Linked DNA regions of Drosophila melanogaster. The protein of the gene in region 3 interacts with the protein of the main gene of each other region in a pairwise test. Each region holds a gene or a part of one and is shown on either strand. Other genes may lie near its edges.

What was found. The genes of interacting proteins can lie anywhere in the genome.
Region 1: the proteins of ana2 (region 3) and Cp110 interact in a two-hybrid assay, tested with the Drosophila melanogaster proteins (one study listed by BioGRID).
Region 2: the proteins of ana2 (region 3) and Nek2 interact in a two-hybrid assay, tested with the Drosophila melanogaster proteins (one study listed by BioGRID).

The regions. Positions count from the first base shown.
Region 1 is NC_004354.4:22,478,895-22,489,214, reverse strand, and holds Cp110 (centriolar coiled coil protein 110kDa), read right to left. Parts: upstream 6,821-10,320; 5' UTR 6,675-6,820; exon of another isoform or gene 6,551-6,674; 5' UTR 6,479-6,550; coding exon 6,465-6,478; intron 6,377-6,464; coding exon of another isoform or gene 6,374-6,376; coding exon 6,193-6,373; intron 6,129-6,192; coding exon 4,689-6,128; intron 3,979-4,688; coding exon of another isoform or gene 3,964-3,978; exon of another isoform or gene 3,814-3,963; coding exon 3,580-3,813; exon of another isoform or gene 3,469-3,579; intron 3,273-3,468; coding exon 3,141-3,272; 3' UTR 3,131-3,140; exon of another isoform or gene 3,095-3,130; intron 2,158-3,094; 3' UTR 1,757-2,157; downstream 1-1,756. Other genes in the region: l(1)G0196 (lethal (1) G0196), read right to left, coding at 1,426-1,548; CG12576 (uncharacterized protein), read left to right, coding at 8,621-8,703.
Region 2 is NC_004354.4:7,887,310-7,895,008, forward strand, and holds Nek2 (Nek2), read right to left. Parts: upstream 4,338-7,699; 5' UTR 4,191-4,337; coding exon 1,983-4,190; 3' UTR 1,757-1,982; downstream 1-1,756. Other genes in the region: Acat1 (Acetyl-CoA acetyltransferase 1), read right to left, coding at 129-1,361; ND-MNLL (NADH dehydrogenase (ubiquinone) MNLL subunit), read right to left, coding at 5,821-5,991; CG45089 (uncharacterized protein), read right to left, coding at 6,013-6,177; p115, read left to right, coding at 6,818-7,699.
Region 3 is NT_033778.4:8,896,256-8,903,047, forward strand, and holds ana2 (anastral spindle 2), read right to left. Parts: upstream 3,957-6,792; 5' UTR 3,866-3,956; coding exon 3,112-3,865; intron 3,061-3,111; coding exon 2,552-3,060; 3' UTR 2,474-2,551; downstream 1-2,473. Other genes in the region: Sec31 (secretory 31), read left to right, coding at 1-1,375, 1,440-1,547, 1,610-1,918, 1,996-2,067, 2,134-2,322; CG13751 (uncharacterized protein), read left to right, coding at 4,087-4,320; MrgBP (MRG/MORF4L binding protein), read right to left, coding at 4,395-4,585, 4,638-5,052; Ggamma1 (G protein gamma subunit 1), read left to right, coding at 6,093-6,305.

The DNA.
Region 1 (10,320 bases), on a different chromosome or scaffold from region 3:
ATTTTCGCGGGCGGTAAGAAGAGCAGCGGATGGGCGGGAGAAAAGGGATAACAGATAGTAAATGTGGGATCTACGCACAAAAATAAACAGTGCACTGAGAGAAAATTACACTACATTCCGATTTATGTTTGTAAATCTAATTCTGCTCTTTAGGATTTGAGCTCAAAGAAGCTGGCGTCGAAAAAATCGAATTTTTGAAACTTGAAAGCTGGAATCGTTTGTCCATGTTTGCCCAGTCCAGTTTTCGACATCTGAATTTGTAGTAAAAGTTCGACAATTTTCGAAAATCAAAAAGTTTACTTTTTTCATAATTTTTTTTAATTGCAATAACCCGTTTGCCCATCCTTTAGAATTTTGAAAAATGTATACGTTAGAAAATATAAGACATTCAGGTTAATCTCGGTCTACTCAGAAAATAAAGCGTTTGCCCATCTCTTATAACTAAATATTATAAAAAAAAATGTTTACTTTTTTCATCGTTGTGGTGGCTATTCACAACGCCAACTATCTAATTGCGACTTAAAAAAATTTTCATTTTCAATTTTCGAACTTTTTGAAAATTCAGATCTCGAAAACTGGACGTGGGCAAAAAAAACTTTATCGGTGGGCAGACCAACTCTCCAGCTTTCAAATTTCAAAAATTCGATTTTTATTATTATTATTCATTATTTTATCAAATTCATAATATTCTAAGACATTTGTTATTTTATTTCCCAGTTGCTTGTTTTTAAATTTCCTCTCTCAAAGATTTTGTAATATTCCTAGTTATTTTTAAACAGTTTGGGGGCAGTTTTGTTTATATTATTTTTTCGAGTGTAGACCGCAACGCACCGCCCACATTTGGAGTGAAGCTTACGTGCGTCAGCCAGCGACGTCCGCCAAAACGCCACTCTCCCTGCCACGAATTTATCGATGCTGTTGCTCATTACTCTTTGGACTGTTGTTTGGTTATCTCTTCGCTGGAAGGGTGCTCAAGGGATGTAAATTATGTTTATTCCAAAACCACACACACAAACACACATTAGAAAACGAGTAAAAGAGCCGAGAGCAAAAGCTTTTGGCATTGACATTGAACAGTCAGCTGTTGGGAAGAAGCAAAGGAATGAGAAGAATTTAGTAGGAGGCGGAGGAAGAGAAAAAGCTCCACTGCAAAAAGCCGCAAAAAGTCAGGGTCAGCTCTCCGCATGTAAAAATCTACAGTCGAAGTCAGCTAGATTATAACACCAGGTTTAAATACTTTTTCAATGCTCATAATTTTATATTTCACATTCTTATAAAACACTATTTAAAATTAAATAAAAATCGATTTGACTTGTTTTAAAAATAAATACGTGCATGTATAGCACATATAGTATGCAAATAAAAAAAATTATGTGTTTTAGTGGGTTACGCTAGATTTTAGTGGTAAAACGGTGGAGCGCATACGTTGCCATCCTGTAATCCCAAGTAGAAACCGACCCGCTGCTGCGGCTGACTTTGATGCGGATTTTGCTGCTGATGCTGCTGGGATATATCCTGGTACCCTGATTCCAACTCGGTGTAGGACATGGTAATCCTTTGTGTTGGTGTTAGTGCGAGTTATCCAAACAAAACAAGGAGCAAACAACAACACTGGGAAACGTTTTTCGTATTCTGTTTTTACATTTTTCACTCTCACCCCCACGCACGCAACTTTGCCGCGTGTTAAAAATATAAGTGTGCGCTTATATTTTTGTTAACGATTTTTTCTCTCACTGTCCTTCGATTTACGAGTTACGAAATCTGTTATTGGTGTGGTTTTATTATTTGTATTATTATTTTTTCAATTTGGTGTGTCGTTCTAAATTCGCCGCCGGCGGAATTATGGAATTGGGTGGGCAAGGCACGCGGGCAGCTGGGTGAATAACAGGATGAGCGGGAGGTCGGCCAATTGCTGTGGGTTACGTGCTCACTAATAATTAATTGTTATTAAACTAGTTTTCTCTCGCTTTTGATTATTTGTCTGCCTTTGCTGTTTTCTTTTAAGGCCATCACACGCACACACGACTACTCGCTTTAAAAGTTCCGTTTGTTTTGGCAATCCGCCGCAGCTTTCAGGGCGAATTTGTCTAGAAAGCTCCGCAATGTCTTGAAAGCTTGGCTGCAAAAAATCACGCGGGCTTTTGCCAAACAGCTGTTCTGTAAATCAAGAAAGAAAAGGTATTAAAAGGTATTAAAAAGATAATAGAGAGATATAACCAAAAATAAGTATATAAATGTATTTCAGTTCAATATTGCGACTAGTATGTATATTTGTTTGTTAGAATTGCTTATTAATCGTAAGAATTAATTTGTGTATGTAGTTAAGGATACTACCGAATCTACCCATTAAATTTTATATTATTTTAATATTTTTTTAATATTTAATATTTAAAAATATACTTAATATTTAAGTATTAACATATACATATTTTCTTCCATTTCAGCTCAAATATATATATTCCATAATACAAATTAAATAATAACAAGAGAGATTGCTATAGTCGGCTATCAGATACCCGTTACTCAGCTAATGAATATGCCAACGCAAAGTTGGGAAATAAAATGAGAAAAAATATATATGTAAATGGTTCGAGTTGTGGGCGCTGTGGGCCAAACGCCGTTTTGGGAGTTTTTTTTTATTATATATCGATAGAAATGGGCAAAACAAGCAAAAAAACGTAGAAAAAACAAAACATTTTTCAAAAGTGTGGGCTTGACAGCTTTTGGCTGTTTTTAGGCGTTAGAGTGGGCGTGGCAGAGTTTTTTGGCAAATCGCGTCTATGTCTCTGGAAGCTGCATGATAAATCTGAACATTCTAGCCTGTATAGTTTCTGAGATCCTGACGTTCATACGGACGTAATGACAGACGGACGTGGCCAGATCGACTCGTCTAGCGATCCTGATCAAGAATATATATACTTTTTATAATGGGAAACGCTTTCTTCTATCTGTTACATACTTTTCAACGAATATAGTATACCCATTTACTCGTAGAGTACAAAAAGGGTACAAAAATGTAAAAATGTATAGAGAGAAAGTGGAACCAGAAAACTTAAACTTAATAAAAATGTGTTTAGTTAAAACAAGAATGCTTCGTTTATCGTTTCCTCCTTTATTCGAGCAATCTAACCTATGAAATCCTAATCCAATCGGCGATGTTTGAGGAGTAGTTTGGTCTTGATCCTCTGGCGATCCCGAGCGATGATCTCCATGCGGTCCTTTATGTTGGTCTGGAAGAAGATCAGGTGCAGGGTACGACTGGCGGAGCAGAGCTATGAGTTAATTCAATGAATATAAAGGAAAAAGTAGTCAGCTTGTATTAAGTTTGCAAACAAGGCAATTTCAAATCAAATATTTATATAAAATCGCATTAATTATTCTAAAATACCAGTAGTTTTGGTTTTGCTTACTCAAAGTTAAACCAAAGTCAATGTAAGCACAGTAGGTAACACTGCAGTCGAGTTTTTTGACTATCGCATACCCTTCACTCAGATAATAATTAATTTCTAGTTTTATCATCCAAGCCTAATGTACACATTTGGCACCTTTTACACCTAGACAAGTAACCAAGTAACCCACCTGTTGAAGCAATCGCGCCTTGAGGCGCAAGTTTGCAGGCTCCTCTGCATCCAGGCCATGTCCACAAGTTTCCAGGTGCAGGTTCAACACGAAGATCAGGGTGTCTCTGATGGTTTGGACAATGCGCTGCACTTGCTCGGTTGCAAAAAGCCGGCGGACCAAAAATCCTCGCACACCGGCATTAATACGTGTGGCCGCCCACTGGCGCTCTTCCTGTTTCAGCTCGACATATTTCTGGCAGGGATTAGAGGCGAAATTAAACAGGGAACGAAGGCACTTGCTAGTTGGGTTAGTAATTAGGTTAGCTACTGGTGCTAGAGGCTTGGTCCCTCGATTTCCTCGCAGTCTTTGTTAAGGCACTTGCATAACTGACTACCCGAATTGCTAGGGCTTCTTGCGCTGTTTGTGTTGGGGAAGAGGAAATAATAGAATGGGAGTACAGGAAATAGATATTACAGATTATATCGCCAAGGTTTTCACTTTTTTAGGGATAAAATACCTAATTATTATATTAAGTGATTATGCTAAGAATATCAATATCAATATCAATATAAAGCAAAAAAGAATGCTATCAGATACCCGTTACTCAGCTAGTGGATATGCAAACTAGAAATTTCATCATAATTTTTCTGGGATATCGATACAAAATTGGGAATAAAATGAGAAAAAATTTAAAAATTAATTAAAAATGTCAATAGAAATGTACATGTCTAATAAAATTGTGAAAAATATCCAACATATATTCAAGCTTTTATAGTTCCTGAGATTTTGACGTTCATACGAACAGACGGATATGGCCGGACCGACTCGGCTATAGATCCTGATCAAGAATATATATACTTTATATGGTCGGAAACGATTCATTCTGCCTGTAGCATACTATTCAACGAATCTAGTATACCCTTTTACTCTAAGAGTAACGGGTATAAAAATAGAGGACCATAAATAAAAAATCGTTAATGCTTTAGTTAAATAAAAGGAAAGGTCAAATAGCAGAGATTTAAAGTAAGAGTCCAACCAAATTAGCTGCTAACTTAGGTTGGCACAAATGAAAACCTTTGTGACTTAAAGCAAATAAAATATCGCTCAGATTCGCTTGAAAAACTTACATTGCCCAGCCGCTTGGTCGGTGAGGCGCTTTTTGGTGGGGCGCTTCCCCTTTTCGCTATAATGGAGCTATTTTTTCCCGGGGAACTTTTCGGTCGTCCTGCTCCACCTCCAGGCTTCGCTGGCGATTTCTTCACCTCGCGGTCTGCTGCGGTGATTGTTTTTACTAGACTACCGCCCACAGATTGCGATCGGCGCCGGACAACTTGGACACTTCGTCTGCTATTGGTTAAGCTGCTGTTCCGGAGGGGCAACGATCGCGGTGTGCTGGGGGCACTGAGCAGCTGCGGTTCCGAGTCCTTTGATGGTTTTGGACTAAACAGCCTCTTGCGAGCGGAAGAAGGCCCCGCAATTTGGCACTTGTCTTCCATCGTCGGAAAGTCTTCTATGTCCTCTGAAAAGGAGGGTAACGTAGGCGAGGGGGAAAAACGCTGCAGGTCTCCCGTACTGGTGCTTTGCGATATCAGACTGTCAGGATTTTCGGTGGCCGAGGAAACATCAATTTCGGCACACAGTTCCTCTATGAGCTGACGCTGCTGATGATCAAACTCGGCCTGCATGCGACGACGTTCCTTCTCCTGGTGAATGACCAATTGATTCATTCGCTCCCGATGGCCACGCAGATAGTTGCGCACTCCTGCCTTGCGGCTGGCTTCCAAAGCGCCATGCTCGTCCAGCGCCCGTTCTATTATACGCTCCACCTCGCGATCCCGCCTAGAACAGCTGCTGCCGGCGGTTGTGGTTTTAGTGGCGATGGTGCTCTTGGTTGCGGCGCTACTGTTGCTATTGTAGCTGTTGTGGCTAATTTTGCTGCTAATACTCCTTGCACTACGGTTCACCCGCTTGGCCTGAGACTCGATGGTCTGCTTCTCGAAGTTGGCCAAACTCTGGCTGGGTTTCACAGCCAGGGCCTCCCTCTCCATGTGCTCCACGAGAACCTGGGAGGGCTCCTCTAGTGTGAAACTTCTCGAACGCTGAAAATTAGCTGGTTCTGCCAGTGGACTGCCGAGCTCCCTTGCCGTTGTGTCCTTTGTATCCTGATCCTGCTGGTCTTCGGCTACCGCAGGACTTGTGCGCAGGATACACTTATCTGGAACTTTGGGCAGCAGCTTACCCAGTCCCGACTGCTCGAACTGCAGGATACGATCGGTAATGCGATTATGCCGCCTTGGGGAAGTGTTTTCTATTGATTTCACAAATGGTTGAGGCGTGGGAGGATCCACCTGTATGGTGGGCAACTGTTTGCCAAAGACCAGAGTCTGAGGACGAGCCTGGCCCCGTGTGCTGTCATAGATTAACGTTTCTGTCTGCTGCAGCTGTGACACACTTCTCCTACTGGCCATGTCGGATCCCGCCGAGTGTCTGGCCAGGCGGTACCGCTTCTCCAGCGCTTCTGCCATCTGGCGGGCCAGCTGCACCTCGCGCTTCTTGGCGCTCGTCATCTGGAACAAAGTAAAATGGTTACGCCTCAGTAAATGCCACTCCCTGACCAAGAATTTAAATCACCAGCGGTGGCAGTATAGGCTGCCCGTCCAAGTGGAACCGAAAGGAGACAGGGTCCATGGAACTAGAGCCACTGCCCTCGGAGGGGGCGCTCCAGATCGATATGGTGGTCGTGGCCGTTGGTGTGGTGGCCTCGCTGTGGCTACCTCCCATCTCAACTGCAGACAGCAGCTGCTCCATTGCCCTGCTTAATTGGAGAAGCATTAGATTGAGCAAAATCAGTAATTAGAAGCCCGTAAGCAACCGGGATTCATAAAATCCCAAGACCCACTCACCACGTCGCATCCATTGGTGTTTTGCTACTGGGAATTTTTGTTGGGACGTCGAAATGTCAGGAAGCCTTCTCAGAGGTCAGCTGAATCTAGGTGTTTTGTGAAAGTTCATTAAATGTCTGCTATGTTTTAGTTGCCATTAGAGATGACGATGGCACTAGGGAGCCCTCGACTTCCCGCCAAAAATTAGGAAACCTCTGAAGAGTTCATTACATCAATCAAATGATATCCCGAATCGTTGAGAGTTTTGTATTCAATGTTTCTACCGTGGATCGCAGCTACCATCAAGAGCCAATGAGAAATGCTGCTTTAATGCTGGGGAAAACATTTATTTTCAAACGGCAATTCAAAACTCACACGAAGTCCATGCAGCCCTGACGTCAGATATCGATAACCGGACTTTTGGAAGTAGCGTTTTTAGAGAAAATTTGAGGACTCCACAGATTAGCAGAGGAACAAGTTTTCAGTCCTTCCAGAATTATAGTAAAGAAAACGGTGGATTAAATTAGTGTTCAGGAACTTATATTGTATATTTCGTATGCTTCAAAATCTTGTCAAAATTAAAGAAACATTGTCTGCGAAAACTTAACTTTTATTGGTTCTTAACAAACTAATTTGAAACAGCTGGCCGAATTCAACAGTTTACTAGGTGGTTATCGAAACTGGTGTGGTACATTTTGGTATTTGATTTGCGCCGGATGGTATTTTCCTTCGCCGTGCGCGCGGTCACATTCACTGGATGTGTTTTTTTGCGCTGATTGTTGCTCTGGCGCGATCGAATTTGCCTGGAATTCGGGAGTCAACATAATATTTTCGAAAGTCACCAGCTATAGCGAAAAGTATGCGAGTTCTATTACAGCTTGTCGATATGTTGTGTTCGTAACTTCTGTTTGCATATGTTATGTGTGTGTGTTATCTAGTTACAAAACGATCTAAAACCGTTTTTGCAAAGAACGTCCGCAAAACTGAGTTTGTACTTCAAATATGAACTATTTGCGGTTTATATTGCTCCAGATTTCTCTCTTTAAAGTTGCATTGTAGATGCAGTCGTGTGTGTGTGCGTGAGATGGGAGTGCAATTTTTTTTCAACAGTATCAGCTTTGTTTTTTAAGTAGAATACAAGTAATTTTTACCCCTAACTTTATTCCTAGCCCCTTTCCTTTATAAAAATACGGTAAAAGTGTAAGGAAAACAAAAACAAAAAGCGCAAAGTTTCGCACATATATGTGTACATATGCATACACACGCTGAGTGTGGTGTTTCTGTATTGTTTTTTTTTTTGTGTTTCATTCTGCGACGCAATTGAAAAAGACATCGAAGGCCAAACAACTTGGTGTTTTTTACGTTTTGTATGGCTGTAGTTGCTGTTGTTGCTGCTCAGTTGGGCGTTAGTGTTTGGCTCCGTTCTTATTATTATTATTACAACTTTTCCACGCGCTTCGCTCTCTGTTTCTCTTCCACATGCTTGCTTTCGTCCTCTCCCACGCTGCATTGCTGTCTCACTCGCACACAGCCGGTAAGCCAAGCAGCAAACAGCAACAACAACAGCAACGGCGGCGACAATAAATTATGAAAAACAAGGGAATAAGTTGATGAAATAAGTATTTCGAATTAAATGGTTAATCACTGGTGGAAAAGTCGCAGTTCCAATGACACCTTTTCCATGCTGAACTACGGAGTTTTTTTTTGTTCTTAATCGGTATACGTTTGTGAAAACAAGTGCGCTTGTGTGAGTGAGACAGGGCCTCAAAAGCCAGAAAAACATGACAAAAACATTTTGGTAAATTGCCATGTATCCGAAATAATGCTCATGCAACAGTTACATATAAATATTGTTATTTTATTTTCTACGCAGTAGTCGCGGATTTTCAACAAAGAGCAATCATAGTGATGGTATAAAAGAGGGGAAGGACGAAAGCAAAGAGAGCAAACCGAAAACAGTTACTCTGCCCATGCGCACAGCTGACCCAGAACCTGGCATAACGGTAAAGTAATTGTGTCGTACAACAAGCGAAACTTGACAGCGAAAGGGAACCGGAAGTCGCCTAAAATCGCGGAGCGGAAAGGAAATCAGTCCGCCAACCGCGGGAGCTGAAAATCGAAATCACAACCCACAAAAGCGATTCCAAAGTGCTATCTTGGTGCTACTCCCATACAAAATGTTCCAAGTCCTGCCCCGTCCGTCAAGATCCACGTTCCACTGCATAGCGGCAGCCGTTGTCACAGTCGTCCTAATGTCATGGTAAGTCGAAGTAACAATCCATCCAGAATTTTGCCATTAATTGATCCAGCTTTCCTAGAAAACTGACCTCGTATCAAAAAAAAAAGGGGAATCTTAAGACCCTTCTAAGCCCATATTTAAAACTATAGTTTTCAATTCAGTAGATAGGCACAATCAGAGTTTATTGGCAAGATAGTTCTTAGTACTTAATTACTGGTAAAAGTGGCAATTTTCGTTGATCGATAAGTTTGAAACGTGCGGCGTTTAAATTTGAGGAATAAGACAACAAATAAAAAACAATAAAATTTGTAGGCATTACGGGGAGTCCGTCCGTTTTTGGAAAATGTGAAACAGGTACATTGGATGAATGTCCATAGTTGTAATCTGATTTCTGTTAAAAGTTAACAATTGTCGGCGGGTTTTAATTAGGGCAGTAATCTCAATAAATAGCGACACGTAGTGCGTATATTTACGCACTAAATGATGTACATTTTAATTGGGTCGAGCGGGTCCGAATTTCTTCCCAGCCAATTCAGTCTCGTTCCCATTGAAAGAAAGCTGCGCAGCAAAGTGAATATGTAAAATATACTGTGTAAAATCGTATGGTCGGTCACACAAGACAAATTGTGGAGCTGTAGGTAGGAAAGAAAGAAAGAACCTCTTTGCGTGGCCAATTTCGAACTGAAAGTTGCAATGTTTTATTTTCGGAATATATGTGTGTGCACACAAAGATTGTTCCACATATGTATGTATGTAAAAGCGCACCGAAATGAAGCTCATGTGCATGCACATGGCCATCCAAATACAGCTATGGCCAAGACCGTGAAGCACACATTTAAAAAGCGCCCGAAATTAGCATTTTGTGGTTTGTGGTCCTTTCTTTAGTTCCTATTTATTTATTCTTTTATTAAAACTACAAAAATGCATTTTTTTTTTTTGTAATATCCACAACTTGTGAAACTAAACGTGATTACTGTTTATTTATCAGACTGGGCAATTTTTAAAAGTAGTATTATAACTTGTTTGCGCACTTGTTAAACTGATAAAAAGTGTATCAATTTCCGTTCAATTCCGCTGATTATAAATCAGTTCTATTGACTTAGGCTCCGCTGTTGGTTGCTGTGTGTATGCCGGCGATCTTTTGTACGTGCTTGCACCTTCGTTTTAGCTGACTGAAAGGCCCCACCCTTCGCCCCGTTGCGCCGTCCTTGCTTTATATAAATACTCACTTGTACATAAAAATGTCACTCCATGCCCATGCACACCGACCACTCCTCCGCCCATTTAAAGCGTTCTGTGTGGCGCAATTAACCAAAACAGAATAAAATTAAATACACATCATGAATGCACGCAGCCGTTTCGCAGATACAACTCTATACGGCGAATAATTTCGGCTAACGTATTTGCAGGATGGATTTGTCCTTGTGAAATTCAGTCCAATCGATTCACACTGTGATTCGAAAGGATAGAGCACTCCGAATGAAATGATACTTGTCTGTGCAAATAATGTTATTATCTTGAGCTGCTATTGAGCTGAGTTCTTTGCAACCATTTGTTACTATTTCCGGTCACTGTTTAGGAAACGGGCTATGCACATTGTATAGCCCAAGCATTTCATATAATAAAATATTTCTACCA
Region 2 (7,699 bases), on a different chromosome or scaffold from region 3:
CGTTAAATGCGGCCACGCGCAATCAAGACACTTAACAATTTAAAAAAAAACATAGAGCTTTCCACAATAATCTCGATGGATCAGTAGTAAATGCATTTCTGGTTGAGAGCAGGTCCGCCAGGTGACCTTTACAGCTTCTCGATGAGAATGGAGGAGGCTCCACCGCCGCCATTGCAAATGGAGGCGCATCCCAGCTCGCCCTTCTTCAGGCTGTGCGAAAGATGGGCCACCAGACGGGCTCCGGACATGCCGATTGGATGGCCAATTGACACGGCACCTCCATGAACATTAACCTTGGCTGGATCCACATCCAGTTTCTTGATATTGGCCAAAACGACCAGGGAGAAGGCCTCATTGACCTCCCACATGGCCACGTCTTCCTTGCGAACGCCGGCACGCTTCAGTAATTTGGGAATGGCCAGAGCTGGGGCAATGGGGAAGTCAATGGGATCGGTCTCCGCATCCTGGAAGGCCACAATCCTGGCCAGCGGCTTAATGCCCGCCTTCTGGGCTGCCTCGGCACTCATCAAAACCACGGCGGCACCGCCATCATTCAAGGTGGATGCATTTCCGGCTGTCACAGTGCCATTTTCCCTTTGGAAAACGGTGGCCAACTGTCCAAACTTGTCAAAATTCACCCGCTTGTACTCCTCATCCTCTGAGATGACGATCTCCGGCTTCCTCTTCTGCTGAATCTTCACCGGGGCAATCTCGTCCTGGAACACCTTGTTGGCCCACGCGGCAGCCGATCTCTTGTATGATTCAATGGCAAAGTCATCCTGCTGCTGACGTGTGATCTCCAGTTTTTTGGCCGTATTTTCGGCACAGTTGCCCATGTGGAACTTGTTGTACACATCCCAGAGGCCATCGAAAACAATGCCGTCGGTGAGATTGACGCCGCCATAGGGCGTGGCTCCCCTCTTCAGATAGTAGGGAACATTCGACATGGACTCCATACCGCCGGCAACGACCACATCAGCATAGCCGAGCATCAGGGATTGGGCGCCCAGCATAACGGCCTTCATGCCCGACGAGCACACCTTGTTCACCGTGGTGCAGCATACATTGGTGGGCAGTCCGGCGAAGATGGCAGCCTGACGGGCGGGGGCCTGTCCCAGACCAGCAGATACCACATTGCCCATAATCACCTCCTGGACATCGGTCTTCGCAATTCCGGCCTTTTCGATGGCCGCCTCGATGGCACGGGCTCCCAATTGGGTAGCCGTCAGTGGGGCCAATTGACTTTGGAAGCTGCCAATTGGTGTGCGGGCTGCCGAAACCACCACAACTTCGGCGATTTTGGAGCTGTAGTTGCGATGGGCGCTCCAGCGACGCGTGGCCTGCAGCAGTCGGGCGGACATCTTGGAATTTAATTAATTTGTATTAACTAGCACAGCAATCACACAGGTAAATGGCAAGAATCCAATCAGAAATCACGCCAGACCTGTTGCTTGCGTAACAAACCGGTAATCGGTCTATCGATAGGCAACAGCTGGCGCGGTAAAAGTGTTGGCAACTGTTAAATAAGATTAAAGCGACTGGTAATTTTCTATTAGTTAGCATTCTTTAAATGTAATTTTTAATTTTTGCTGTTTTAAGTATATTGCTTGAAAACTACGCTGTAAAGATGCAATGCTAAGTTTATATATTCTTTTTACAATACCCAGCACTGAAAATGCGTAAATTGAACTTAACGGTTACAAGCGAACAACAATAAATAAAAACACGAAAATTGAAATTTTAAACACAAATGTATCTCATTTCATCAATATTTATTTTAAGACTAATGCAAATTGCACAATGAATGGCAGCTGAAAAAACTGGAATCTTAATGCTAATAATACGTGTTTAAAATATGGCATTCAAAAAAATTTTTGCATAAAAAAAATGTAAATATTTCGGAACTTATTCCACATCACAACGCTCATAGTCTCCATGGTTGCCATGGCTCCTGGACTGCACATCTTTCCTGATCAATTTGATCAGATCACCATCTGGTCGCGCGTTGTTAGCTTCTGATGGCCAGTGGCCACCACCAAAGACCTCCGCATGCGGTTCCGCTGCAGCGTGGAATTCCGTTCCCTCACCGATTGCCGCAGATGCTGGCGACGTGCTCCTCCGGGTCCAGAACCAACGACTCCACCTCCGCTTGCCTCCCTCTCGGCTGCATTCATGGCCGCCAGCAGCTCGAAGGCTTGTTTCTTCTGCTCCTTTGTCCAGAGATTGGCCACTGGTGGAACTTCTGCCGGCTGTTCCTGCGTGATCGGTGGCTTGACGGCCAAAGGAGGTCGCTGCACGCGAGTTGCAGCTGCTTGGGCTACCTGGTTGACCGATGGCAAGGATTTGGATGTCGCCTTGGATCCGCGACTCAACCCGAAAAGCGAGAGTATAGATTTCCTGCGGGTGGAGGAGGCCTGGCTGTCACCGGAATCATTGCTGGATACGCTCATTTGCATGGGAACGCCAGTGGGCGGAGGATTCACTGCCGGTTTAACCGCCGGTGGGGGCATATTCTCGATACCATAGGTAACAAACTTTTGGGGCGACTTGAAGGTAACCTTACGCAGAGTATTTAGCGATTTTGGTGCCGGAAGTGTGGCTAAATTGAGTTTAGCCACCGTGGGCGACGTCTCGTTGAGTTCGATAGTGCAGTAGGTGTCATCATGGTGCGATTTCGCTGGCTTCCTAGGAGGAATGGGCGGAGCTATCGGCTGTCTGCAACTACAAGTGTGTTTCTCCTGCTGAAGAAGTTTTTCCTGCATCTGCCGCTCCAGCGTTTGCACGCGCTGTTCGGCCAGCTGTAACTCCTGCTCCCGGGTCTGCAGCTCTTCGAGCTTCTGCTGCAACAGGGATTCTTGGGCACGAATGGCGTGGAGACGGGTCTTTAGTACTTCATCGAATATGTTTTGGGTAAGAGCACGAGGACTGCTAGGGGCCTCCTTTAGAAGCTCCTGATCCCTTTTCTGCTGCTCCTGATCCTTTTTACGGCGCCGCTCTTCCGCCAGTTCCACCTGCCTCTCCTCCGCTCGCTCCTCTCTCCTTATACTTTCATAAAGAGAGGGATCCGACAGCTGTAGTTTCTTGGCAGGAAAGATTTTGCGCTTGGCGGAGTAGAAGAGTTCACTTCGCAAATCTGGAGTAAACACACCAGTAACGCTGAGTCTCCTTTGCCCATAGCCTTCATTGAAGCTGTACTGTTCCGTAAACATGGTGCTCGATAGCTCTGGATGAACTCCATCTTCCTCTTCGTCCTCGAAAAGCCTGGCACCCGAAGGCAGTGTGTAGAAATCCTCTCCAGAATCAACTAGAATTGGGAACTTGCCATCCAACTCGCTAATATTACGCACCACCAGAGGATGCCGAATGATAACCTCGATGCCAGGACGCTGTTCATGATCCACTGCCAGCATGAAGGCGATGATCTCCTGCAGATCAGTACTATAGATTGCCGGAATCCGACTGAACTCACCCTGGGCGATCTTCTCGGACAACTGGTCAAAGGCTCTGCCGCGAAACGGCGGTCTTAGGGCACACATCTCGTATACCAAACAACCAACGGCCCAGACATCGCTCTTCCGATCGTATTTCCTGCCCTTCACCAACTCCGGACTCATGTAGTGCGGAGTGCCCACAAAGGAGGCGGCAAAGCTCTGATCTCGTCGCAGCATTCTGGCCAGACCGAAATCTCCCAGTTTGGCATTCCCGGCCGCATCCAGGAAAATATTTGCTGGCTTGATATCGCGATGCAAGATGGTTCCGTTGGGGATTTTGTTGTGGCACACCTGAAGCGCCCGGCAAAGTTGGAAGAGCACCCGCCAGATGTAGGGCTCCTCAAACCGCTGCCTCTGGGATCTCGCTCGCTGGACAATCTGGGCGAGATCGCCGCCGGCACAGCACTCCATAACAATGTACACCGACTTGGCCTCTCGGTTCACCAGATGATGGTAGTATTGCACAATGTTAGGATGCTGGAGCTGCCGCAGAACACTGATTTCCGAAACCAAAGCGTCGCACTTGGCCTCGTCCAGTTCATCGTAGTTCATTCCCTTCCAGGCGAACAATTCACCGGTGCTTTTGTCGCGCACCTTGTAGCAGGTGCCGAAGGATCCATTCCCCATCACGGCCAAAACCTCGTAATCCTGCAGGGTCTTTTGCGAAAAGTCCATGCCGGCAGATTCCTCTCCGCTCATTTTGCCTTAAGTCTTTTTTTTACTCTTTGGGTATTTTGGGTATTCCGCCGCCGATTACAAATGATCCGCTTGCTACAAAACCCAAACACGATTTGAGACTGGTTTTTGGGATGCAGGATTTCTGGAATTCTCATTGCTACCTGCAAGAACGGGAGAGAGAGCAACAACAAGTGCGCGAGAGAGAGGTTTAAGTAGTGCCGCTACCCCGCTAAATAGGGCGGAAGAATGAATATTCTAAAAACAAGCTAGATTTGTAATTTTTACAAAATACATTTTGCAAATATGCAATCTAATGATATAATTACATACATAAACAAATAGCTATTTCATCATTAAATTAAGAAATTGTAATATGGATTAAAATACAAAACTATTTAAAAACCAATATACAAGACAACTACCGATTAAAATTGATAGCAGTCATTTCAACCTGACCTTCATATAAATAACCTCTCCATAAAACCCTTTCGCACCTGCATGCTAATGCCCAATTTGGCTATTTTCCCGCCGAGAGACACCAGCACTGTTATGTTATTGTTGCACGTCTGGATCTCTCGTTTCCTTCCAGGAACAAAGATCGTGCTATTACCCTCTCGCTCCCAACCACAGTTCAACGGTATCCACTTGCAAATCTCTGGCATCTCACCCTCTCGCTCACGCTCTCCCCCGCTGTGAGAGAGAGAAAGCCCTTGAAAGGCGAAAATCTGGAAAATCCGTTCCATTTGATCCCACTGCGCCTGTGTACAAACTACTGACCATTGGAAACAATGGTCTAGAGAGGGGCAGCACGCCCAAGAACACAATTCCAGCGATTCATCACGCTCAATTTTGGAACTCGAGCCCAAAACCGATCTTAAACCGGAATCCAAAACCGAGTACAAACCCCTAGCCCTGAGCCATAAAAATAAATTAGTTTTGTTCCATTGGCATTTCAATTTGCTGCCTTGTTTGTTAAAGTGGAAATGTCCTTATCGGATTTCATATTTCATATTTGAAGTGAGCGATTATCCATTCTGTCTAACGGTTTTTACTGGAAGCAGTTACATAGTACATATAGGCATGGTCGTGCAAATGAAAGTTTTTAGGGGGCTCATGCTTATAAAAGTTTTTTTTTTCTATTAATTCTTAAAAATCTCGATTCACATGTATTAGATAATTCAATGCCATTTAACGAAACTCATTTAAAAAGACTACTCTCGGTTACCACATTTCAAGTGATTTATGTGACATGCTCAAGAAGTTCTACAATAAATAATAAGAGTTTTGGTAGAATACACCAATGCTCTTCTAAAATATCCAGCCTACGCCCCTGATCCGAACTAAGCAGAACTCGCATATCGTGCAGCGATGCCCAGGTAAAATCCTTCGAAAAACGAGTTATCTCCTTGGATTTTTCATTGGTTTTCGGCTTATCGTTAGACGTGTGTTGAGGTTTTTATGTTTTTCCTGAGTAAAACAAACAATGGTACGCAATCCTTCACAAATAAATCACGTTCCCGACCGCAAATCTCGTCCGCTGGCCATGCAGGTAAACTAGACGACAGGCGTATTTCACATTTCTCCGGTTTATTGAATAACAGTGAATTGGGGGAAAAAAAATAATATTTTGGGATGGCGATGTTGGGCAGGCCTACCAGGATGGCGCCTTACCCTCGCTGCCGGCGGGACGGCCGTATAGGGCACTCTTGTCCCGGAACATGGTCATACGTTCCGTTTCCTTCTTGTCCAGGAAGTGGCCAATGGCAAATCCCAGCAGGGGCAACGCGCCCCACAGTGCTCGCTTATCCAGTCCCAAGACCATGGTGTATATTTGTGTATCCTCTTAGCGCTGATCCTTCAGCTGGGCTCGGTGTGCCAACTGGAGCTGCTGGCGTTTCCACTGGCGGGTGTGCGACCAATCTGCGTAAATCGATCCGACTGCAACAGTGGGAAAGAATATCACTGCGCCGTACTTTCGAGCCAATTGAACCACAATCCCACTGCCCATAGGTCTGCAAGACAAGCACAGGAGATGGCGAGATTTACATATGATTTACACAAATTGATGTGGGGATTGTTATGTTATGGGTTGACATTTTGCCGCATTACGTAATAAAAACGAGTGATTTCTCCCAGCGTCGTGATAACTGTGTTGATATTTTTGAGAACTTCTTACGCCGCGTGTGTGGAACGCTTTATATTGTATTTTTTGGGATTCTCTCGTTTAGTTTTAAACACAAATTTGCTAAATTAGTTTTGTTTTCAACTTACTTATAGCATCGATAGCACCAGGGCTGTCGAGTCGTTTTTAGTTTAATAAAATTTTGGCAGTAAGACTATCGCCGACAGGGATGCCACTCAGCTTAAGTCCCGACGTCAGCTAGAAAGTAGCAATATTTTATGTAATTCAAAAAAAAGTTTTAGATTATCAAAAAAGTGTAAATATAGGTAATTACACAAACATGGTCAAATATGGTAAATTGTAATTCTAAAAATATATTTAATATATTTAAAGACAAGCCGCTTATCGATAAGTGGGCGTCTATCGGACTTTAGCCATCGCTAAGCCGCCCGTCAATTGTTTTCATGAATTGACGTGTCTTGTTGAATGCGAAAAAACCCAGAATAGACCGTAAACACACACTCGCATGGAGTTCCTGAAGAGTGGCATCAAAACGGTGCTGGGCAGCACGGAGCCGGGTCAGCAGCCGAGTGCCGCCGAGACGGTGGAGAAGCTGGTGGACCGTGTCTACTCCTCAACGCTCCTGGAGGATCGACGGGATGCCTGCCGAGCGCTAAAAGCCCTGTCCCGCAAGTACCGCATCGAGGTGGGCGCACAGGGCATGCCTCCGCTGGTCCAGGTGCTCCAGAACGACGGACAGGATGCAGAGATCATCAGCTATGCGCTGGACACACTGTGCAACGTGGTTACTAGCGAGGAGTTCGACGAGGAGGCTGATAATCCCACCGTTTCGGTGAATGTGGGCGAGCAGTTCACGGAGATGTTCATCAAGACACCGGAGCATGTAACCCTGGTAATGGGCTATCTGGACGAATACGATTTTCGAGTGCGTCGCGCTGCCATCCAACTGATTACGTCCCTCATTTCGAACAAGACGCGGGAGCTGCAGGATTTGATTCTGGTCAGTCCGATGGGCGTTTCCAAGCTGATGGATCTGCTGACGGACAGCCGCGAAGTGATTCGCAACGATGTCCTTCTGCTGCTTATCGAACTGACCAAGGGCAACTCAAACATCCAAAAGATTGTGGCCTTTGAGAATGCCTTTGACCGCCTTTTTGAAATTGTCCGTGAGGAGGGCTGTTCGGATGGCGGAATTGTTGTGGAGGATTGCCTAATTCTGCTATTGAATCTTCTCAAGAACAACTCCAGTAATCAGCAGTTCTTTAAGGAGGGCAGCTATATCCAGCGATTGTCGCCAATGTTTGAGCTCTCACAGGATGCGGAAGAGGTTGGCTGGTCGCCACAGAAGGTCTCAAACTTCCATTGTCTGCTGCAGGTGGTGCGGGCA
Region 3 (6,792 bases):
CGTGGAGCTCTGTCTGGAAGCACAGCGCATTCCTGAAGCCCTGATTATCGCCTCAACGGCTGGCATTGAGACTCTGAACCGCACGCAAACGCGCTACCTGCTGCAGCAGAAGAACGAGCTATCGCACGTTATCTCCGCTTTGGTATCGCGCGACTGGTTGGACTTCGTCAACAGATGCACTGTGGACTCGTGGAAGGAGGCCCTGGTGGCCGCGCTCAAGCACAGCGAGCGCAAGGTGGTGGACATCTGCGAGCGACTAGGCGATCGCCTCTTAAGTGAGTGCGCCTCAAGCGCCGAGTTTACGCGCAACGCCATGCTCTGCTACATTTGCGCCGGCAGCATCGACAAACTGGTCACCGCGTGGTACCAGTTAAAGCGGCTGGAGCAGCAGAACCCCGGCTACAAGCCCAACACCACAGAGCTGCAGGACTTGGCTGAGATGGTGATGCTGATGTGCAAGTCGTTGGAGCAGCAAGGCATATCCGTGGACTTGGCTGGTCGCTTTGCCGGCTTTCTGACTGAGTACGGCGGTCTTCTTGCGTCCCAGGGTGCTCTGACTGCAGCCCTGCAGTACATTACCACCTTGGGCGGAGGAGCTGCCGCCAGCGAAAGCGATGTTCTGCAGAGCCTACGAGACCGGATAAATAACGCTGTCAACCTGGACTACACCCAGCCACAGGCAGCAGTCGCTGCTGCGCCACACGGCTACCAACCGACTCGTGGTCGTGGATCGTTCTCGCAGCCACAGCCTTCGGCTCCCATGCCCTACGGCCAGCCGCCCAATCAGTATGCACAGCCCAGCTGGCCAGCGCAAGTGCCTCCACTACAAACAAGCTACCCAGGAGCCCAGCAGCCTCAGGCTCCGCCGCAGATATTCAATCCGCAGCCTGTGAAACCAGAGCCCCTGGCCCAACCACCGCGCCCACTCAGCAATGCCAGCTCTTCAGGTGGTCCGCCGCCAGCAGGCGGCGCATCATCCTCCGGCGGATCGGGTCTTTCTGGCCGCTCCAAATACGTTTTGGACCCATCTGTAGCAGCTCCAACCAGTTCCTACGGAATGCCATACAATCCAGTGCCGGCCCCCGTTCCATCAGCGGTTCCATTTGGCGGCGGAGGAGTGCCTGGGCCCGCACCCCAGCCAGCTAGCGTGCCAACGTACAACAGCAACGCGTTCAACACGAATCCTATTGCGGCTGCCCAACCTTACAACCCTTCGCCACTCATGCCAGCTCAGCAGAATCAGTTCGTGCCCGGTGTGAATCCCATCGAGACAATGCCACCGCCGGCTGTGCCACCAGTCATCCAGAATGTGCAACGCAATCCCACACCACCACCTGGCTGGAACGATCCTCCTGCACTGAAATCTTCGCGAGCGGTAAGTACTTGGTATACGAAATGTCATAGGCTTTATCCTAATTGTTTGCTTCTTTCTCTAACAGCCTAAGCCGAAGCCGGTGGTTGAGCCAAGTGCTGCTATCTTCCATCCCCTGTTCCCAGTCGACCCGAATCAGAACCAGAACGGTTATGTGGACCCCTCTCAATATCAGGTGGGATTTAAAAGCGGATTATTGGTCAGGAAGTAGATCAAAAATGTATTTATTTTCTCCAGCACGCAGCACCACTTGGAGGAGTGCCCAATACGTACTACAACCCGGCTGCCTTCAACAACAATCCCCAGCAGCAGCAGCAGCATCAGCAATCATATCTCCAGCCTCAGCAGCCAGCCCCTGGGATTCAGCAGCCAAACTGGCAGGGACAACAGCAAACCATTGGCTATACCGAGCAGCCAGCGCCCATCCAGCAACAGCGCCAACCGGCGCCGCCCAAGGAGAAGCCACCACTCCCCGAGGAGTACATCTACTTGCAGACTGTGCTGGAGGAGCTGAAGAACCGCTGCCTGGGCGCAACCAATGATCCGGTAAGTCTATTAATAAATGATCCATATAGACAAAAGGAATAACTTACTTTTGTTTATAAATTTTCTTACATTTTAAGCGCACAAAACGAAAGTTTGTCGATGTTGTCAAGAGGCTCGAAAATCTCTACGACTGCCTGAGAGATGGAAAGGTGAGAGCTGCTGCCTTAGATCGCGATTCAATTGCAATTCTCAAATGGCATTTACTTTAATTCCAGCTCACTCCCACCACGGTGCAATATCTGAATCAAATAGTTCAGTACATTCAAATATCCGACTATGCCAATGCTATGGAAATCCACACGCAAATCGCCTTCGGAACGGACTTTGCGCAGTGCGCGGGCTTTATGCAGGGACTGAAGGTCCTACTGCAATCCGCATCCGAGCTACAGTTGGTTCTGCGTTAGAGCCCCGTCGCCGGATCGCAGCCAAGTTCACTAAACGTATATTCTTATTGTGTCTTCAGATATCGATGTCAAACACAAAATGTTTTGTATACAAAGAGTGGTTCTCTACGTTAGTTTAGGCTGGGATCACCAGAAGATTGTCAACGTTATTCCGTGTATTGAAATATATTTCCACTTAAATCGCAAATAGACATATGCATAAATAACAAAACGAACATTGTACATGCTTTCACAACAGCTTCGGCTGGTTCCTGATATTCTCCAAGTCCAGTTGAATATGTGGCGAAGGGGCGGTCGCCGCCATGGGAGATTGTGGACACACCGGCTCCAGTTGCTCCTCGGGCAGCAGACGGTATTTTTTGAGATACTTGTACGAAGCATTGGATATGTCGTTTGGACTCTGCGCGTGGCCTATGTTGTCGATCGGACGCAGTGGCTCTGGATTAGGGGACTTCGGCGACGCCCCCAGGCGCATATCCTTCATCAACTCATCCACTGGCTGGCGCAAGTATTTCAGCGCCAGCTCGTTCATCACCATGCTCTTCTCGGTGTTGGGCTTGGCCAGTTGAGGGATCCGCTTCGCCTGAGGCGTATTGGCCCGGTAGCCCGTAGATTGGGCGATCGGCGGATGTGGTCGAGGAGACGGAAACTGAGGAATCACTCGTGCTTGTGGCGGCGGCAATGGTTCCTCCTCCTCTGCTATGTAATCCTGCATAATGGGAGACAAGCGTCTACCTGCTAGGAAGGATGTTTTATTGGATTCTTTTCATACAGATTCAACGTACGCACCTTGATTGGTGGTCAGAATATCGCACTGGGTGCCAGTGGTACTGCTGGCTTTTGAAATGGCTTCGGGTTTCGCTCGCTGCTGTTGCTCCAAAATCATCTCGCAGAGATTCCGAAGCTGTTGCTGCTCATGGCGCACGGACTCCACAAGGGATACCAGAGCCGCCAGATCACTCTTATTGGCCAAGTTGCTGACGTCGATGTCGGAATAGACAACCTGGGGCAGTGATTTTCGCGGAGGAGATGGGTTGAAGGGATCGGTCTGTGTGCCAGCACAGATGGTGAGGACATCTGCGTTGGAGGAGCTGGACAAGCGCCTAGATTGATATGCCTGTTGCTTGGGCTCGGCATTATAGCCACCAGCATTGCAGTTCATATGATTGGTAGTCTGCTGCGCATCGCTTGCATAGTTGCGATCCCGGGGCATTACTTGGTATTCCTTCGAGGAGCACGGACTATTGCTGCTGGGAGCGGTGCGAGGACCCAGTTCTGTGGCCAAAATGGGCGAAAAGTTGACCCTGGGCAGCATTTGCTTCTTCCAGGACGCGAAGGTGGGTGCAGCACGAGGGGATGACTCCTGATGTGCATGATTTGGCTGCTGCGGCTGCATCTGCGGATCCTGCGGCGGCTGGCCAAACAATATGGATACCTCCGGCACGGTGGGCCCTATAATCTCATTGGTGTGGCCCATGGGCACTGCTGCACTCGGCCTGGGCGCTAGTCTGGGCAGCATATCCTCCGTTTCGGGAACAAACATTTGGAGCGTATTTGTTTATATTTGCCGATTAAATTAAATTCGAGCGGGAGAATCTGTCCAATTGGAAGTCGATCGACTTAGGGGTGGAACTAGGGCTGACGTAAAACGCCAACTTATCGATACTTTATCGAGTGTACCCTACACTTAGCCAAGTTTCCAAGTGCACGAGTCACCCAGCGGACTGTGTGTCATAGCAAAAGCTGAAATTTCTCGGGGGAAAAATGCCTGTTTTGGAGCACATCAAAGCCATGGCAGAGACTCCGACTCCAGCTGAGAACAGCCCTGCACCGGCAGACGAGAATGCTCCGCCCCAGGCAGTCCGGGAACTGACGCAGACCGACCATCTCAACCGACGCCTTCTCAAATCGCTCCTGGAAAACATGCAGGCCACCGAGGTTCTGGCGCAGGAGAACGGGAACGGCTCCAACGAGGAGGACAACGATTTCGAAGAATAAATCCTTTTATTAGAGTACAGTAAAACTAATGAGCTAAAACGGATCAACAATCGTCAGTTTCGGGCGGGGGTCACCTATATGCGACGGCGCTTGTTGCTCTGCACCGGCGGCGGCGTAGTGGAGGGGCTGATGGACTCGTTGGACATGGAGCCGCGTGTGCGCTTGGCCGGACGCTTGGGCAGCTGCTCCTGGGGCTTGGCGACGGGCTTTTTGTCGCCGTCCTTGGTGGAATTCGTCGGTACCGGCGTTTTGGTTGCAGGTGGAGCTGTAAAACAACATTACAAGTGAATGAATCCTGATGATAACTAACGAACTACCTTTGCCATTGGTCTCTGCTGTTGGAGGGGCCGACTGTGCCTCTGCAGCCTCCTCGTTGGCATGCACTTCCACCGTCTTTTTGGTCTGTAGCGTTCCGTAATCCTGCTCCGGCAGGCTGAACTCGCGCTCCTCGTTGGGAAAGGGCAGCGACTCCAGATCGTCCAGTTCCTTCAGCTTGTACATGGTGCCCAGGTGGCGCCAGATCAGCTCGCTGGGCATTTCACGGTTCAGCGACTTGGACAGACGCTGGACAATGCAGGACATGTAGAAGTGCTTGTTGATGCCCACCGGGCGCAGGCCTTCCATTGCATGGAACAGCTGCAGCTCTTCCTCGGCGGACCACTCGTGGTCGAGGGCGGCCGGTAAGGGGGCCGCCGTTCCGGCCACAGCCAGACCCTTGTCCTTGGCCATCATTTTGCAGAGCGCATGGAACTAAAAACTGATACGTATTGTATGTTTTTCTGCGCGAATATTAGCGATGGTATGCGGGTGCGCTCACGCACCCGAACTATCGCCGCGCGGCACATCACTAGTTTGGGTGTGTATCCACTTTTATTCGTCAACTTTGCTCGATTTTAGCCCGTAGAGTTCGAGATTTAAAAAAAAAAAAAACATATAAGCCGGAGCTGGTAATTAACAAATAGTGTGCAAATATAGTTATGTGTTGTGTGTGCATCCGTCGAAAACTTCACTTTTCCACTATAATCCCTCTGCTAACCACACGGCGCAGTACGCCTTCGTGTGTTTGTGTGTGTGTTCTCCTTCACTATTTCTGCATAAAAAACTAATTTTCGGTGTTCCCAACGAGTTGAGCAGTGTTTTTTGCACACAACTCGGGTTCTCCATGTGCTGGCACAAGTAGCGCCCACCGCCCACCACCACGCCCACTTGGGGTCAGTTAATAACCTTGCACTTGTTCGCGTCAAGGCTTCCAGTTCGGCTGGAAAGTTAATCAGCAATGCGATCGATGAAACCAATGCCTGCGTTCGGTTCTTTACATGTGCCACAAAATAACACATATGTTAATGCGTAGTGTGACTCACTATCTAGCTATCCTAACTTCCCGCCTAGTACTAAACACTGACTAAACTACACCAATCTACCAACTATCTCTGTCTAGAATCGCGAAAATGTACACATATGTTATAGCTTTGTGTCGCCTGTTCGATGTTGTGCCCGTATGGGGAAGCCTGTACAAAGAATGAGATATCTAAACTACATATAACCAACTTGTTATTTCCAGCCAGCCATTAAGATCCATCCAAACCAGTATTCCCAGAATCATACGATAAGATAAGCCAAAGCCAAAGATCAAAGACCAAGCCCTTCGGCGAAGCCACACAAGCACTAGCAACCAAGCACACCACCCCAAATCCACTATCCCGTAATTGCATTTCCCAGTATCCGTAACACTGAGAACCTTTTCAACCATAGGCCTATCCGAGACAGCCATCATGGACGTAATGTCATCATCCCTGCAGCAGCAGCGCGTCGTGGTGGAGCAGCTGCGTCGCGAGGCTGCCATCGACCGCCAGACGATCTCGGAGTCATGCGCTAAGATGATGAAGTACATCACGGAGCACGAGCAGGAGGACTACCTGCTCACCGGGTTCACCAGCCAGAAGGTGAATCCCTTCCGCGAGAAGTCGTCCTGCACCGTTCTCTAAGGAGGCGGTGAGGATGGTCCGCCGTTGCCGAGGAGTCAGCGATCGCCGGCGGACGTTTAGCTTATTTTTAGTTTAGCAAGATGGATTAGGACGCAAACGTGTGTGGAGTACTACCCCAGTACCAGTATCAACGCCACCTGGAACAATATATAGTTGTGCAGAAGCCACAAAAGCTACGATTGTCATAAGCAATATCATTACAAGAAGTTTGAATTCCAATTCTAATTCCAATTGCGAGGAATATATATATATATTTGAATCGATATATCAATGTGTACCAGCCACGTTAACAAGTAATGTCCGAAACCAGAAACACAAACTCAATGTCAAACCTAAATCTATATCTAAATCTAAATCGAAGCATTTGTTCCAAAGATATCAGAGTTGTTTCCTTTCCGATGAGTAACGCAGTTAATGTACACGAATATCCCAACTATAACGACAATTAATGCGCTGACTATAGCACCTACTACTCTACCTAACCCGA